Tamandua tetradactyla: one gene and its partner. The protein of the gene in region 1 interacts with the protein of each later gene in a pairwise test. Links are inferred from orthologs where the notes say so. Each region holds a gene or a part of one and is shown on either strand. Other genes may lie near its edges.

Region 1 (7,471 bases):
CCAGGCCCTGGGCCTCTGCACCTGCTGTGCCCCCCAGCTCCTGCCCATCTGCCTCTGTGGAAGCCCCCCTTGGTGCTGGTCCTCCAGGATTCGTCTTACCACTCCCTGTGTTTTCCCATCCCCTACCAGGGGGTTCCTAGGGACAGGCCCTGGGCCCCTGCGCCTGCTCCCCCCAGGGCCAGGCACCCTGTCCAGCACAGAGGGGAGGCAGCAAACAAATGCGCCAACTGCATGTGCTGTGGCCGCCGCCATCACCCTCACCTCATCACAGCCGGGCCCCAGGAGGGCCTCTCAGGTGCTGGGGTCTGCCCGGGCAGAGCAGAGCGCATTCAGGGCCGGCCAGCTGAGCTCCCCGGGGCAGGGTCCCCGCTCCCCCCCTCCCCCACCCAAGGCTCCAGCCCTGGCGCCCACTCACCTTCACTGAGGAAGGCGTCCCAGACACGCAGCACGGTGGGGAAGGGCAGGGAGCGGGCGAAGAGGCACAGGAACCACTCGGGCAGGTAGAGCAGGGGCCCGACGCCCACCTGCTGCAGGTGCCTATGCACGCGCGGAAGCAGCCGCCGCAGCAGCGCCGCAAACACCTCGGCATCCAGCCGCACGGCCTCCTGCGCCCACAGCCATCAGCCTCTCCCCACCCGGCGCCCCACCCGCTCCCCACCCCTCTCCCAAACCCCAGGCTTCAGCCCTCCTCAGGCGGCTCCCCCCGCCAGCGCCCACCCCATCCCCGCTCACAGGGGCCCCCATCCCAGCCTCTCACCATGTGGGGTCCATAGTAGCCAGGGAGGTAGACCTCACAGATCTGTACCAGGCACCAAAAGGCCTCCTGGGGGGTGGGGGGTGGGCAAGGCACAGGCCCGTGAGTGCCCCCCACAGAGGGGCAGGCAGGGCAGGACCCAGGAGCCTGGGAAGCAGCTGGGGTGACTCTGGGGTCCCTCTCAGAGCCTCTGCCCTGGGCCCAGTCGGGGGCCTGGTGGTGGGTTTACGGAGCCGAGAGTTATATGGCTCGGGATGGTGAATTGGGGAGGGGGGGGTCACAGGATTGAAGCTCACTGGTCAATGGTTGGGAGCATCCCAAAGTTCAAGGCCTGGGGTTCCTGGAGTCATTCGGGTCAGAGGTCATGGTGGCAGGGTTCAGAATCGGGAGTTGTGAGCTTAAGGGGATAAAGTCAAGGGCCCCCCACGTTTCTGGGATCAAGGTCATTGGGGTTGAATGCCACTGAAGGTGGCAATCATGAGACCCCGGGTCACTGAGACAGGGACTGGGGGTCAGAGTCCCTAGGGTTGGGGGCTATGGGTGCAGAGCTCAGAATCATGGTGGGGGACACCTGGGCCACTGGGGCTCCGGGGTCAGGGTCTCGGGTCCCTGGAACAAGGTCAAGGGTCACTCACCTCTGGGGGCAGGTGCATGAGTAGCACGGCGGCCACGGGTCCCTGGGCCTGGCAGTAGCCCTGTTCTGGCCGATACAGGGTGTAGGCCTTGAGAACCTGCTGGAGCCCCTGCTGCCTGTGCCAGAAGACCCCGTTAGGGGCCAGTCCCCCAGGGTGTCCCTTGCCCACCCTCTAGTGACCTCTGTGCTAGGCCTCAGCCTTCCTGGCTCCCCTGAGATAAAAGGATGTGAAGCTGGGCGAGGGGGAGGAGGGCTGGGCCAGAGGACCTGGGGCTGGGGGCCTGGGGGTCCCTGGCCATCACCAGCCTCGTACCCATGACCTTGAGGTGACACAAACATCTCGTGCAGAGGGAACTGGCGGTGCAGGTCCCTGCCAATGGTCTCCATCCACTGTGGGTCTCCGGGGGCCGAGGCCAGCTCCTGTCAGGGGGAGGCGGGGGTCACGGCTAGAAATGGCAAAGGGCTCTGGGAAGGGGAGGCAGGAACCCTGCCCACTCGCTCACCTGATAGGTACCGGGGCTGTTCTGTTTACACACGTGGGCCCCACACAGCAGGGGCCAGCAGCGCGCCCGCAGGGCTGAGGGGATACCTTTCCGGCACTGCATCTTTACCTGCAGGTGAGGCCGGGGCAACCTTAGCCAACCTCACCAGCCTTACCTGCTGCCCTTGGCCGGCCCCCAGCAGGCCGTGCCCCCAGGCAGGGAGCAAAAGCAGCATCTGCGGGGGCTGGAGGGATGGGTGGCCCTTGTCAGGGGCTGGCTCCAGGCCGAGGGGAATGGGCCACCCTCCCCCTCACCTTCTTGTACCGGCGAGACATGGTTTTCTCCCAGTGTGACGTCATCTCCACCCACTTCATCTCCCGCTGGCGGATAAGGTCTGCAGGGGCCTGACCTGGGCTGGGGACACATGCATAGGTAGCCAGGTGTCGGGCAGCTGTTTCCTAGGACCCACTCCTGCGAACCGCCCCCCATGCTCCCACCTGAGCCCAGCTCCTGCTCCTGCCGATGACCTGTAACCAAGAGCTGGCAATGTTGTCATGGGGATGGGAAAGGATGTGGCCTCTGATATGGGCGGAAGCAAGAGAGACTGAGGGGTGTGCATGGGGGGAGGGGTTGGCTGGCTATTCCCCCTCAACCACCCTGCCCAGGACAGGGACACAGATAACTCATAGGGAAAGCTGGCTGGTCCAGCATCCTGGACTGGCAGCCAGGGATTCAGAGTTTGACTCTGGTTCCGTCTCTGATCTGCTTGGACAAGTTCCTACCTGTCTCTGGCTCTGTTTTCCTGTCTGCACTTTTGGGGAGGGGCTAGGTGTTGTGGGTTCTATGGTTTGGATCTGGGATTCCTGGGCTAGAGACTAAAAAGGGAAGGCTGTTCAGCCGCAGGAGAGGGTGCAAACCCTTGGAGGTTTGGGAGTACAAGAGACATTTGGAACAAATCCCTCCTCCCCCAACACACACCCCCCCCCCAGCCTTTTCCACCTTAAAGTTTCACCTGAAGGAGAGAAGAGAGGTGATCTGGCTCAGTGTCTAGCTCAGTCCCTACTGCCACACCCTCCCAGACCTTTGAACACCTCACTTTGGAATCCAGACCCCATCCTCAGTCCCGGCTTCCCCACCCCACTCCATCCCACTTACCCAAGGTCCGCTGAGCTGCCCCCAATGAAGCCATAGCGGTCAGCCTGGCGATACGGGCCGGGTCCACTTAGCTCAGAGTCGGACCCCAAAGAGCTGGAGTCATCCTGCAGCTCGGAAGGCTGCACCAGGTCCTGCCCCAGGGCCTGGGCCATGGTGCCCCCGACTGTGATGCCACAGGTTCAGGCTGTAAGACATGGGGGAGAGCCAGTCTAAGGGGTGGCCGCTGGCCAGCCTGGGGCCTGGGCTCCCATCAGTTCCTAGCCCCAGAGCCAAAATGTGGGGTTGGAGCCGGCAGGTTTCAGAGCATCCCGCCAAGCCCCGGACATCCCCTCTTCTTTTGAGGGAGGGAAGGCCCTGACGTGGCAGAAAAGCCTGACCTCTGTATGGAGCCCCAGGCCCAGCCCCTCTCCCCGGCAGCCCGGGCTCCCCACCCGGCCATACCTGACCCTCCTCCTCTCACTTCCTCCTCAGCCACAGCTACAGCAAACCGGCTCCGGGCCCCTCCCAAGGTGTGGGGGGGAGGTGTCACCCCTTCCTCTCTGAGGCTCTTCCTGTCAGCCCCTGGGCCGGCCGTGGGCTCCTCCCTCCCTCCCCGTGGGCTGGGTGGGTTCCTGGGTGGGGTGTGATTGGCCAGGGTCTGCCAGAGGCAGAGGCCAGGCTGCCTCCACTTTTGAGGTTCCTGGTATGTAAGACACCCAAGTCAGGGCTCCAATAAGAATTCTGGTTTACTTAATGTTTGATATTCAGGGGGGAAGCCTTTTAACAGGCACACATACAGCATATTGTGCTTCTCACGTGGTAACTGTGGGACCCATAAAGATTTTTGCATGCACAGAGGCCGGGAGGACCTGACTATGGCTTGGAGTTCAGGAACAGGTGTCCTTGGACCCCACAAAGACTCAGAAGGATGAGGGCCTCCGCGAACGTGAGTCCCCCGTGTTGGGCCAGCCCCTTGCTAACTCTGAGCCTCAGTTTCCTTTTCCGGAAACTTTGAGGATTTAACCCGCAGTGTTTTAGGAGGCGGTCTGGGCTGGGGTTCCTCGCGGTTATTCACGCGCTCATACCACCCTCCGCCTAGAGCAGGGTTGATGAAGGCTGACGAGTCTCTGCAAGAGAAAAACAACTTCCACAGCGTTTCCGGTCCCTTAACCTCGGAGCGCGTCTGGGCGACTCTTTGTGGGCGGGGCCTGGCCCCGCCCACACGAACCCCGCCCCGAGCACCTCAGCAAGATCCCGCCCTAGTCGCGCCAAGCCCCGCCTCGCCCCCAGAGGCCCCGCCCCCGGGCTACCGCGGCCTGTGCGCCTCCTGCCCAGCAGAGGCGCTAGAGCGTGGGGTCGGGGCACAGGGCGGAGGCGGGCCTGGGGGGCGGGCCCGGGCGACGGGGGGCGGGGGCGGGGGCGGGTCCGGGCGGGCGGAAGGAGAGCCAGGCCGGAAGGAGGCGGCGGGAGGGCGGGAGGCAGCTGCGGGCTCGGAGCTGTAGGGCCGGAGCGGCGGCGCCGCCATGTCCGACAGCGAGAAGCTCAACTTGGACTCTATCATCGGGCGCCTGCTGGAAGGTTGGCTGAGGCCGGGGAGGGCCGCGCCCGCCGCGCCCTGGCCCGCTGCCCAGCCCGGAAGTGGCGCGCGGGCGGGCCTGCCCCTCCCGGGGCCAGTGGAGACTGGGCGGGGACGGGCCGCGAGGTCCAGCCGCCTCCCCCACCCCTGTCGCGGGCTCCCTGAGGGGTCTGGGGTCCGATCGGGCACGCGAAGCAGCCCTCTCTCCCGGGAGCGCACACGGTGGCCTGGGGCTCCTAGAGTGAGGGAGAGCCCTGAGAATCCCAGCCCGGGAAAGGGGTTCTGCGATATTAGGTTTTGAGTGGGGGGACCCCAGCGCACCCTTTTCTCGAGGGCCTTGTTTTGGGGGGCATGAGACAGGTCCTGGTCGAGGAGGGGTGTCGGGAGAGACCCAGACGAATACAGAGGTTCCCCTGGGGCGGTCGCCTGTATATCGCCACCCTCTGGCTCCCCAGGACCTCAGAGGCCGGGGTCCTGACGCCCCATTCCGCATTCCCAGTGCAAGGCTCGCGGCCTGGAAAGAATGTGCAGCTGACAGAGAATGAGATCCGTGGTCTGTGCCTCAAATCCCGGGAGATTTTCCTGAGCCAGCCCATTCTTCTGGAGTTAGAGGCACCCCTCAAGATCTGCGGTGAGTTCCCTGCCCCAGCCCCCTTGGGCTTCCTGAAAATGGCATTACCCACCCCACACCCCTCCACCACCCCCACTCCAAGTTCATGGATTCCTCCTCCCTTGAGGAAGCCAGTCCAGGCACTGCACCTGGTGCTGACCGGATTCCCTGGGTCCCAGGTGACATCCATGGTCAGTACTACGACCTTCTGCGGCTGTTTGAGTACGGCGGCTTCCCACCGGAGAGCAACTACCTCTTCCTGGGGGACTACGTGGACCGGGGCAAGCAGTCATTGGAGACTATCTGCCTGCTGCTGGCCTATAAGATCAAGTACCCTGAGAACTTCTTCCTGCTTCGTGGGAACCACGAGTGTGCCAGCATCAACCGCATCTACGGCTTCTACGATGAGTGTGAGTGGTCCCGGGGTGTGGTGGCTGCTCGACTCCTGAAGGGCTCATCCCTGTTCTGTGGGACCCTCCTGTTGGCCTGGCATTAGCCATATCAGTGTCTGGCAGGTACCTGCTAGACTGAGCTTGCAGGGCCGGGTTCAGTTCATTTCTGGCTGCCCCGCCCTCCTGGCATGGGGCCTGGCACTTGGAAGGGTTTGGTGAATGGATGCTGACTGGAGGGCTGCCCATATTCTTAATGCTTTTCCTCAAGGCCCTGCCTGGTGACTCCCCCACCCCCAGGACATCCGCTGCTTAAGCACTTAGGGTGTCGAGCTGGGCTGGGATCTGCTGGCCAGAAGAGAAATGGAGATAGGCCAGACCCCACCTTGGCCTGCTCATGGGTTGGGGCAGGTGTGTGTGTGGGGGGGTGCGTGTGTGTGCCAACTCTACGGATCCTGTTGGGTTCCTGTGGACTGAGATGCTTTGAATTCCATCTTGGAAGGTGGTCCACAGTGCGGGTGGGGTGGGAGGGCGAGCCCTCCCCGCCTTCCACTCTCTTCCCTCAGCTGTGTCTGACCAGCCTGCAAAGCGCCTCAGAGAACCAGGCTGCGGGTGGGGCGGGCAGCCTCCTCACAGGCCGGCATCTCCCTCCTCTGGGCAGGCAAGAGACGCTACAACATTAAACTATGGAAAACCTTCACCGACTGCTTCAACTGCCTGCCTATCGCGGCCATAGTGGACGAGAAGATCTTCTGCTGCCATGGAGGTGAGAGGGCCTCCTTGGAAGCTAAAAGCCCCAGCCACATCCCCGGGGCCCTGGAATAAAGTTCCGTTAGCTGTCTTGGGGGTTAGATGCCTTCTCTTGAGGAAGCTGTACTGCCACACCCCCGCCATTAGGCAGTTTCTTGTGGTGCTCAGCATTCTGCTCTCAAGGAGTTCATCTTTCTTCCAAGCGCTGTGTTCCTTGAGGGCAGGGGCTTCTCTGGCTGGTTTGCCTCTGTGCTCAGGGCCTCAGACATGCAGAGGGAAGGAGGGCCAGCTCTGGCTGCCTGAGCCCCCACGGGTCCAGGAGAGGGGCCAGATGGTGGTGGTAGGAAGAGTGAGGCTGGTTGGCAAAGGCTCCCTCGGAGAGGGGGTCTGGTTTTGAGGCTTGTTTGAGGAGTTGACTGTCCTCCCTGTACCCCGCAGGCCTGTCCCCGGACCTGCAGTCCATGGAACAGATTCGGCGGATCATGCGGCCCACAGATGTGCCTGACCAGGGTCTGCTGTGCGATCTGCTGTGGTCGGACCCTGACAAGGATGTGCAGGGCTGGGGCGAGAACGACCGTGGGGTCTCCTTTACTTTTGGGGCTGAGGTGGTGGCTAAGTTCCTGCATAAGCATGACTTGGACCTCATCTGCCGGGCGCACCAGGTGGGCTGGCCTCTCTGGGTGGGGCAGGGAGTGGGGGCTGGGTAGGGCCGCACAGGCTGGGCTGACCACGCCCATCCTTGCCAGGTGGTAGAAGATGGCTACGAGTTCTTTGCCAAGCGGCAGCTGGTGACACTTTTCTCAGCTCCCAACTACTGTGGCGAGTTTGACAACGCAGGTGCCATGATGAGCGTGGATGAGACCCTCATGTGCTCCTTCCAGGTGGGTGCAGGGGAAGAAGGGACCAAGGGTCCTGGGCCTCAGCCCAGTGAGCCTTACCAGCTATGTCTGTTTTCTAGATCCTCAAGCCCGCTGACAAGAACAAGGGGAAATACGGGCAGTTCAGTGGCCTGAACCCAGGGGGCCGGCCCATCACTCCACCACGTAATTCCGCCAAAGCCAAGAAGTAGCCGCCCCGGGCCTGCCCCTCTGCCCCAGATGATGGATTGATTGTATAGAAATCACGCTGCCATGGAGGGGGGG
Region 2 (7,327 bases), on another chromosome or scaffold:
TAACCTACTAAATGAGTGCTTATAAACCTCATCTGTTCAAATTCTAAGTATAAAAAGAAAGCTTTAAGCCAATTCTACTGTACTGCAAACCAATCAAATTTGAAACTGGTAATATAAATACTAATTTTTTTACATCTTAGAAGTTTAACTCATGTGCTCACAAGAACAATGGTTAACTTTATACAACCGATGTGTATCACTGCTGATCTTGTAATTATGCCACAATGAAATAAACAGATTCCCCAGTGCTTATACTTTTTACCACTCACAAGAACAATGGTTAACTTTCTACAACTGATGTATATCACTACTGATCTTGTAATTATGCCATAATGATATAAACAGATTCCCCAATGCTTACACTTTTTACCATTCCTTAACATTTGCTTATCATTGCACATTAATGGACACTTACGGGCCTGGTCTGTGGGGTTCATAAATTTTCCACTCTTGGTGGATGACGTAGATCTCCGTCCCATGTTTAAAATCTGTATTGTTTACTTCTTCATCAAAAAAAAAAAAAGGCAACCTGAAAATACAAATAAGTAACTTACATTTTTCTGTATTCATAATTTTTTCCCCTTTTTAGAGTACCTTAATATCTGACAAGAAATAGTCTTGATTAATTTTTTGAGAACTTGTTCTTATTCTCAAATTTAGTATCCAAGAAAGATGGCCTCAACTTTCTTGACAAGGAAAAATTAGATCTTTAACGTTCATTAGTAAGACAAAGGGTCTGAAAAGCACTGTGCATATGATTAAATCATCAATGTAGCCTTAAAAAAAAATCAATCATAACTCTGACTGTTGACTGAAAAAATCAACCACTTTCAGCAATATGGCACAAACCATGAACACCGGAAGCCATTCATTAGCCCTTTCCCTACAGCTTCCCTTTATTTATCTGTAGGATGAAAAAAAGAATAGGGGTATGGAATTTGGGCCCAAAGACAAATAGTTCACCCATGCCTATTCATAGTTTTTCTTAGCATGCATTCTCCCAACACTTCTGAGACCATAAAAAATCATTAACTGAAATATACTTCTAATTCAGATATAGCTCTTGCTTTCCAAAAATTTAAAACTAAAAATGAAAATACTCAAAATAAGCATTATATAAGGAAGCTTTCATAAACTTCCATTTTTATCGACATACATTTTCCTAACTAGTACCTACTTGATTCCTGATTTGTATTTTTAAAAATACCTAAATGTGATAATTGTGGTTGAGGGAAAATATTTTCTACGCAAAATTTTTGTTAGGCTAAGACCATATTATATCATTTCTTCCCCTATTCCAAATGAATGAGATGTAACTTTTTAAAACTCTCTTTACAATGATAAGGGTTAACAAATTTCCTCTCTTTAGAAAGCAGGCACTTTTAAAAGAGAGCCAAAGGGAAGATCATGAAGTAGATTATTTGGTAGATTATACAATTATATTCTCTCTCCCTTTACACAGGCATTGTCAGATCAGTTGATTACGGTATTACTTCTTAAAATAAATGTTCAATTAACCTGATTTCTGCTAGATGCTTCCGAGCTGTTCTAGCGGTAATGAATTTAGCCTGTCACTGTTACTTTCTCACGAAAAAAACAAAACCCACGAGTGAGGGAACAAGCAAAGTAAGTGCATATATAAGCTCTCAGATCTGCCTGTATTTCTTTTGCTTTCTTCTCTCAATTATCAGACTGATGTTTTGACCCTCTCCCACAGATTATAGTCAATCTTTACAAATACACTGGTGGGTTAGTCCGCACAAACTACTGTTTTTTTTTTTTGGTCTAAAACAGAGGCCACCTGGTAATCAGGCCACAAAACGTTGGGTAACTTGAAAATAGCCAAAAAGGTTCCCAGGGGACGGGGTCCAGGTCCGCCAAAGGAGGCAATACTAGCAGCAACTGCCGAAACTATAACGACGGTTGACCCTGACTCGAGGCTCAAGACGACGTGAAACGTAGAGCAGCCGGTCAACGTGCAGAGGAAGCCGCGCCAACCAACCTAGATAAAACTATCTCTTAAGCGCTGGAAACCGCGACGTCTCCGGCCCGGGGATCCCCCAAATTGAGACTCGAGAGACACCAACCAGGGCGAGGAAGAACGCAGAAACGGGGCCTGGAGTTCCAAGACACCCGCGCGGGCCCTAGAAGGGACGGGAAAGGTGAAAAAGCGGAGTGGAACCACCCGCACACTCACACTTCTGCTGAATTCCCGGGACTGCTAGAATTGGGGTGTGGGCGATTTCTGGCCTCTTTTACTTCGTAGGGGTCTTCACCTCAGCCCCTCGTTCAGGTAGCCAGCCACCGCCATCTTGAAAGCTCGCGCCCCTCCGCCATCGGTACGTCACTTCCTGTGTCTTCGGGTGGACGGTCTCTTACCGTTTTTCAGTCTTGGGGACCATCCAGAATACCCAAGAACACTAGGATCAAGCTCTCTTCCGCTTGGTTAAAATACTAAATTGGTTGGCTGTCTGCTAACAGCCCGCCTTTTTACGCAGTACGAAGACTCCTAGTCCTATAGGAATAATAAAAGAGAAGCTGGGGCAGATATCTAATTGGTTGATGGCAAGGCACTCCTGTTTCCCTTCCCGCCCCCCCAACGCCGGCCGTTCTGACTTAATATCCGGGGGCATCAATTATTGTGTGGACCGAGACCCGTATTTTGAACGTAGGGACGATGTCTTACGTTGATTGTATCTCCTGGGAATTGTGCTCCTTTTTGGATTTTTCCTTTTCTGGTGACTTAAGCGGATGCGGTCCTTTGGGCGCAACTCCATTTGAAAGCGAGTTGCCGAATAACGCTTGGCGCTGTGTTTGAGGCGCTTTGCTAGGGTCAGGTGGGCCCACGTGGGCGTCTGGTACATCCCGGAGTTCAGTAATGGTTTGTGAACACACAGACCCCTGAGCACATCAGTGCCTGCATTAGGGATCCAGAATGCTAATCGACAGGATTTGTTTTTTGAAGAGGAACTGAAGGATATATGTGCATTCAGTTGTACATTTACTATTGGCGAGTTTAATTTTGTTGGCTCCTTGCCTGACTGTCCTTTATGACGTCACTTACACGTTTGGAAATATTTACCATCTCTAGACGTAGTCATTTCTTTTCTATTCCCTCTTTCCCTAAAACTCCTCATTTCTCTTTCCCCCTTAAAGGTAAGCTAAAATATTGAAAAAAATTTTGCTTGGTTACTTCTGATCCTAAATTAAGTTTCCCCTGTAAGAAAACAAGTTAGATTTAGGCCAATTCTATCAATTATAAATATTTCAGAATATTTATGTTGCTGTTAATTTTTAGTAGATTAGTCAAAATGGACTTAAAGAATATAAGGTAGGCCCCTTACTTAAACTAACCTTCGTCTTAGTAGATTCACTTTTGAGGGTGAGCCACATTGTTTGCAATGAACTAAAAAAGCATTGATGGAAAGAAAGCACAAAGTACATTTGAAAAATTAAGGTCTTATGTCTAACGTTGTGACTTGAGATATGCTGAGTGTTTTAAATTTCAAGATATTTCTTGTACTTTGGGACAAGAATCAAATACAACATTCTCACAGCAGTATATTAATTTTCTTAAGTAGAGGCTAAAAGAGTCTTAATGGAATGTCACTAATTGGTGATGGGTTCAGAAAGCACTTGTATCTGTTGAACAGTTCAACTGTACCATTAGGCCTATGTAGCCTCTGAATTTTCCTGAAATTAGGTAATTAGTGGAATTAGCCAGCAAAAGCTCTGTATAGCAGAGACAGCTGCCTACTTTGTTATTATTGAAAATGAAATTAATTTCTTTTTCTCTGAAAACTCATAGGTAATAAAGGATAACATTCCCATAAATGACAATTTCTTAAAAGAGTAGGGGCTGCCTCTCCTGTATCCCAAATGCATTTTATTGGTGTATGGCTGGAGTTTTTATTTTTATGTTCCAGAGGGTTCAAATATTGACTTGCGGGATACTCGATCAGAATATCGCAAGTTGACTGCAACGGCAGAAACGGACCTTTATCTTTTTTTGGGGGGGGGGGGGGTGGTGTATGGTCTGGGAATTGAACCTGGGTCTCCCACATGAAAGGTGAGCACTCTACCCGTGCACCCCTATCTTTTTAACTTTAACTTTCAACTTCATATTTTTAATCCATCTAGATTACAGTGTGTAATTAGCAGATGATCATGGAACCGTTGCTACTATTCATTAAAACAGATTGGTACAAACCATTTTTTAGTCTCTTCCAGTTTATAGAAAATTGGATTTGATCTTATGATTGAAAATATGGTAATACTTTAATTCCAGTTGAAGGCCTACAGCTTGTGTTTAGGCAGCAGTTGCTAAGTATGTCCCCTTAGAACTAGTTGATGGCTGAAACTAATGATGGAAATGAGAATTTCTATATTCAATGTAAATTTAAGAATTTTGACTAGGGATTAGAAAAAGAAAGGGTAACTACCCCTGCTGCTCTACAATAGCGTTTGCCCCAATGTTGGTCAGGTAGAGCAAGAATTTACATAATCTTTTATTTTGAAGGCTCTAGGACCGACTGACCCAGGCATTCATTGATAAAAACAAAAAGAAACTCCAGTGCCTTAGTTTTCGCATTTCTGATCCCCACTTTCCAAACTATTTACTCAGTTTGTACCCTTTTTGGAAGTGTATGGAAAATGAACCTAATCAAGGAAGCAAAACACTATTAATGAGAAGGAAGCAGAAAAATATTCCAGTGAGAAATCAAATGCCTGTTTATTTTATTTGGTGTTCCACTGTGTTGGTGACCTCAGTAATAATATGATGATATTTTTCGGAGGCTGACTTGAACTCCACCAAATGCTTCTCATAACTTCTGATGGCTGTTTGAAGCTGTGTTTTCTCCACTGCCCCCAGGATGGCACGGAAGATCATGTCTATGCCAAGGCCAAGAACAGTAACTCCAATACTGCCAAGGAGAGAGGCACCAATTTGAGCTAGCACAGTGACCAGCTTGTTAATTATGCCCGTTGTGACACTGGAGCCCACGAGTTTAACAGCCAGTGCACTGGCTGCAGAAGTGGCTTCTCCCAGGATGACTGAAATAACCTTTTGCACTATGGCAATTTTCTCTGTCTCCCTTTCCTTAATGTCTTGAAGTTTTCTGTAAAGGTTTGGCTCTAATTTATCTTTTAGTGCTTCGTCAACCTTTTGCAATTCCTTTTGAATTTTTGTCATGGCTTGTATGATGATATCACAGTTTTCTTTGATGGTTCCATCTCTTTTCATCTCAATGGAGGCCAACTTGCATCCCAAGTGCTTATTTAGAACCCCAATAAGTTTATTGGTTGCATGGAAGCTGTCAGATAAGCAGTCAAGAAGCTGCTGGTGAAGACGATTTACTTCCTGCCGCCTCCTTGGGTTCTCTGGATAGAGAAAATCACTCTGAGCCATATTTCAAATAAGATTTCTGAAAAATAAAAAAGTAAATCCTCACTAAGAACTTAGATAAATATCTGCTGTCTGCATAGATTGGACCAGGAAATCTTTTACTCCATTGTTCTTAAAACAATTACTTTTATAAAACTTGCAGTCATTGTATGATAGATAACCTGTGTCTCAGAATATAACCCACTGATGAATAAGTTAAGGCTTTACATTTTGTGGTGGAAAGAACTCCTAGATAAGAAATGGTTATTAATAAATCTGTTTTCCAGGTAATATTTAATAGCCTAAAATTAAAACAAACTTCAATTTGGTAATAGCTTTTAATTACCAGTCTCCTTGACACCATCTCACCCACCCCCTTCTACCAGTCACCACATCAGATAGATTGCTCTACTATTTGGAGTAAATTAGTGTCAGGGCCAGAAGGCTTTAAGATCTCTTTCAGGGCTATTAATACCAAATTTCGTGTTTATATACTTGGCTATCTTAATTTACAAAATCTGTCGTATCTCTTACAGGCAAATTGTTTTACAAACCTAAGAGATATCTGAAGACAACACCCATGTGTTAAAATCTTTGGAAAAACAGGTATATCCTCTCAATAAAAGTATATATTCAAGACTCTTTGGATTGAAATTTTTCTTGAAGAGAAGGTGAGTATGATATAGGGTATAGTGCAGTTATGACTAACTATGATTCTCCACGTGCAGACATTACTTATTTAGAATGGTTTATATTGCACTTAGCCATTAATAAGATAAGCTAGCGTAGCCTCAGAGAGACAGGAGACAGTGCCATTTCACAAAAGTACTAAAGGATATGTAGGAAGATGGCACCATACAATGAATTTAATGAATCTGATTTATAATGTGATAAGATAACCTTCTTGTGCTTGTACTTCTGGTTTGCATTACCATCTAGAGGAAAAGGGAACATGCATGTTCTGAATTTATTTGGGTGAAAAATCTGTAGTTTGACTGAGCCCAGTAAGAACACACTATTAACAGACACATGTTAGTAGGCTTACTATGTGTTTTGAACTTTTTTTTTTTTTTCATTTCAACTGTTGGGAGAAAAGAAAGAGAATATGGAATCCCATAACTTTATCTGTGTGGGATCTAGCATATTTAAGCAGGCAGCATCCTGAGTAATTTGAGCCCTACCTTTTCTAGGACAATGGTTCTTAGCCCAGATATGAGGGACCTCAGAAGCATGAGATGGAGGAAAGTAAAAATGAAAATAACCTGTCTTCTAAGTCAAAGATAAAATTTGAAAATGTAAAGGGGAATTTTTTTCCAAAATGGATCAGAAAAATAACCTTATGAGTTAGATTTAGAAAAATGAAGGAAGAATAAAGATGACCATGGTCAGAAATTTATTTTTATTCACTCACACACACACATACCTTACATACACATATACATATGCATGCATATAACAGAACTTTCCACAATACAGTTTTAAAAAATAACTAGTATTTTCTACTCCCACTTACAGAAATTACTTTGTTGAGCGTCTCATTAAATATTCTCAAGAATAACTCAATAAACTCAATGTGTGGCAAACTTTAGAGAACCGCAAATTTGCACTTTCATTATTTTCTTCCAGAATTTTCCTTTAAATTTGTCTTTTTCTGGCTCCTTGTTTTCAGATTGTTTCATGTAACAGAAACTCTAGTTTTTGACTTCGGATTTAGAAGATCACCAACTATATCACTATTTAGATATTTAGGTGAGAGGAGTCTTTCTTCCTCTGAAAAAGTGGAAAATATTTCTAGCAGCTATCATATACCATTATCTGAAGGTGTAACTTGCAGAAAAGGTGTGAGGGTCTGTATACCTGAAGTTAAACAAAAAGTTCCCACACACACCCTCCTCCAAATTCGACTAACAAAGAGGAACCTGTAAAAAGAACTGATAAAAA

What was found. The genes of interacting proteins can lie anywhere in the genome.
Region 2: the proteins of PPP1CA (region 1) and WBP11 interact in binary tests that used the Homo sapiens proteins (3 or more experiments, as listed by UniProt). The link is inferred for Tamandua tetradactyla from reciprocal best matches to the Homo sapiens genes PPP1CA and WBP11.

The regions. Positions count from the first base shown.
Region 1 is NC_135335.1:6,994,600-7,002,070, forward strand, and holds the start of PPP1CA (serine/threonine-protein phosphatase PP1-alpha catalytic subunit), read left to right. Parts: upstream 1-4,449; 5' UTR 4,450-4,527; coding exon 4,528-4,582; intron 4,583-5,079; coding exon 5,080-5,211; intron 5,212-5,369; coding exon 5,370-5,600; intron 5,601-6,141; exon of another isoform or gene 6,142-6,240; coding exon 6,241-6,345; exon of another isoform or gene 6,346-6,767; coding exon 6,768-6,991; exon of another isoform or gene 6,992-7,075; coding exon 7,076-7,210; exon of another isoform or gene 7,211-7,287; coding exon 7,288-7,398; 3' UTR 7,399-7,471. Other genes in the region: TBC1D10C (carabin), read right to left, coding at 416-605, 758-823, 1,390-1,504, 1,702-1,808, 1,892-1,999, 2,185-2,284, 3,026-3,177. UniProt on the Homo sapiens protein: Protein phosphatase that associates with over 200 regulatory proteins to form highly specific holoenzymes which dephosphorylate hundreds of biological targets.
Region 2 is NC_135333.1:77,380,079-77,387,405, forward strand, and holds the start of WBP11 (WW domain-binding protein 11), read right to left. Parts: upstream 3,006-7,327; 5' UTR 2,687-3,005; exon of another isoform or gene 2,516-2,686; 5' UTR 1,802-2,515; exon of another isoform or gene 1,519-1,801; intron 530-1,518; 5' UTR 480-529; coding exon 416-479; intron 1-415. Other genes in the region: SMCO3 (single-pass membrane and coiled-coil domain-containing protein 3), read right to left, coding at 4,733-5,410. UniProt on the Homo sapiens protein: Activates pre-mRNA splicing. May inhibit PP1 phosphatase activity.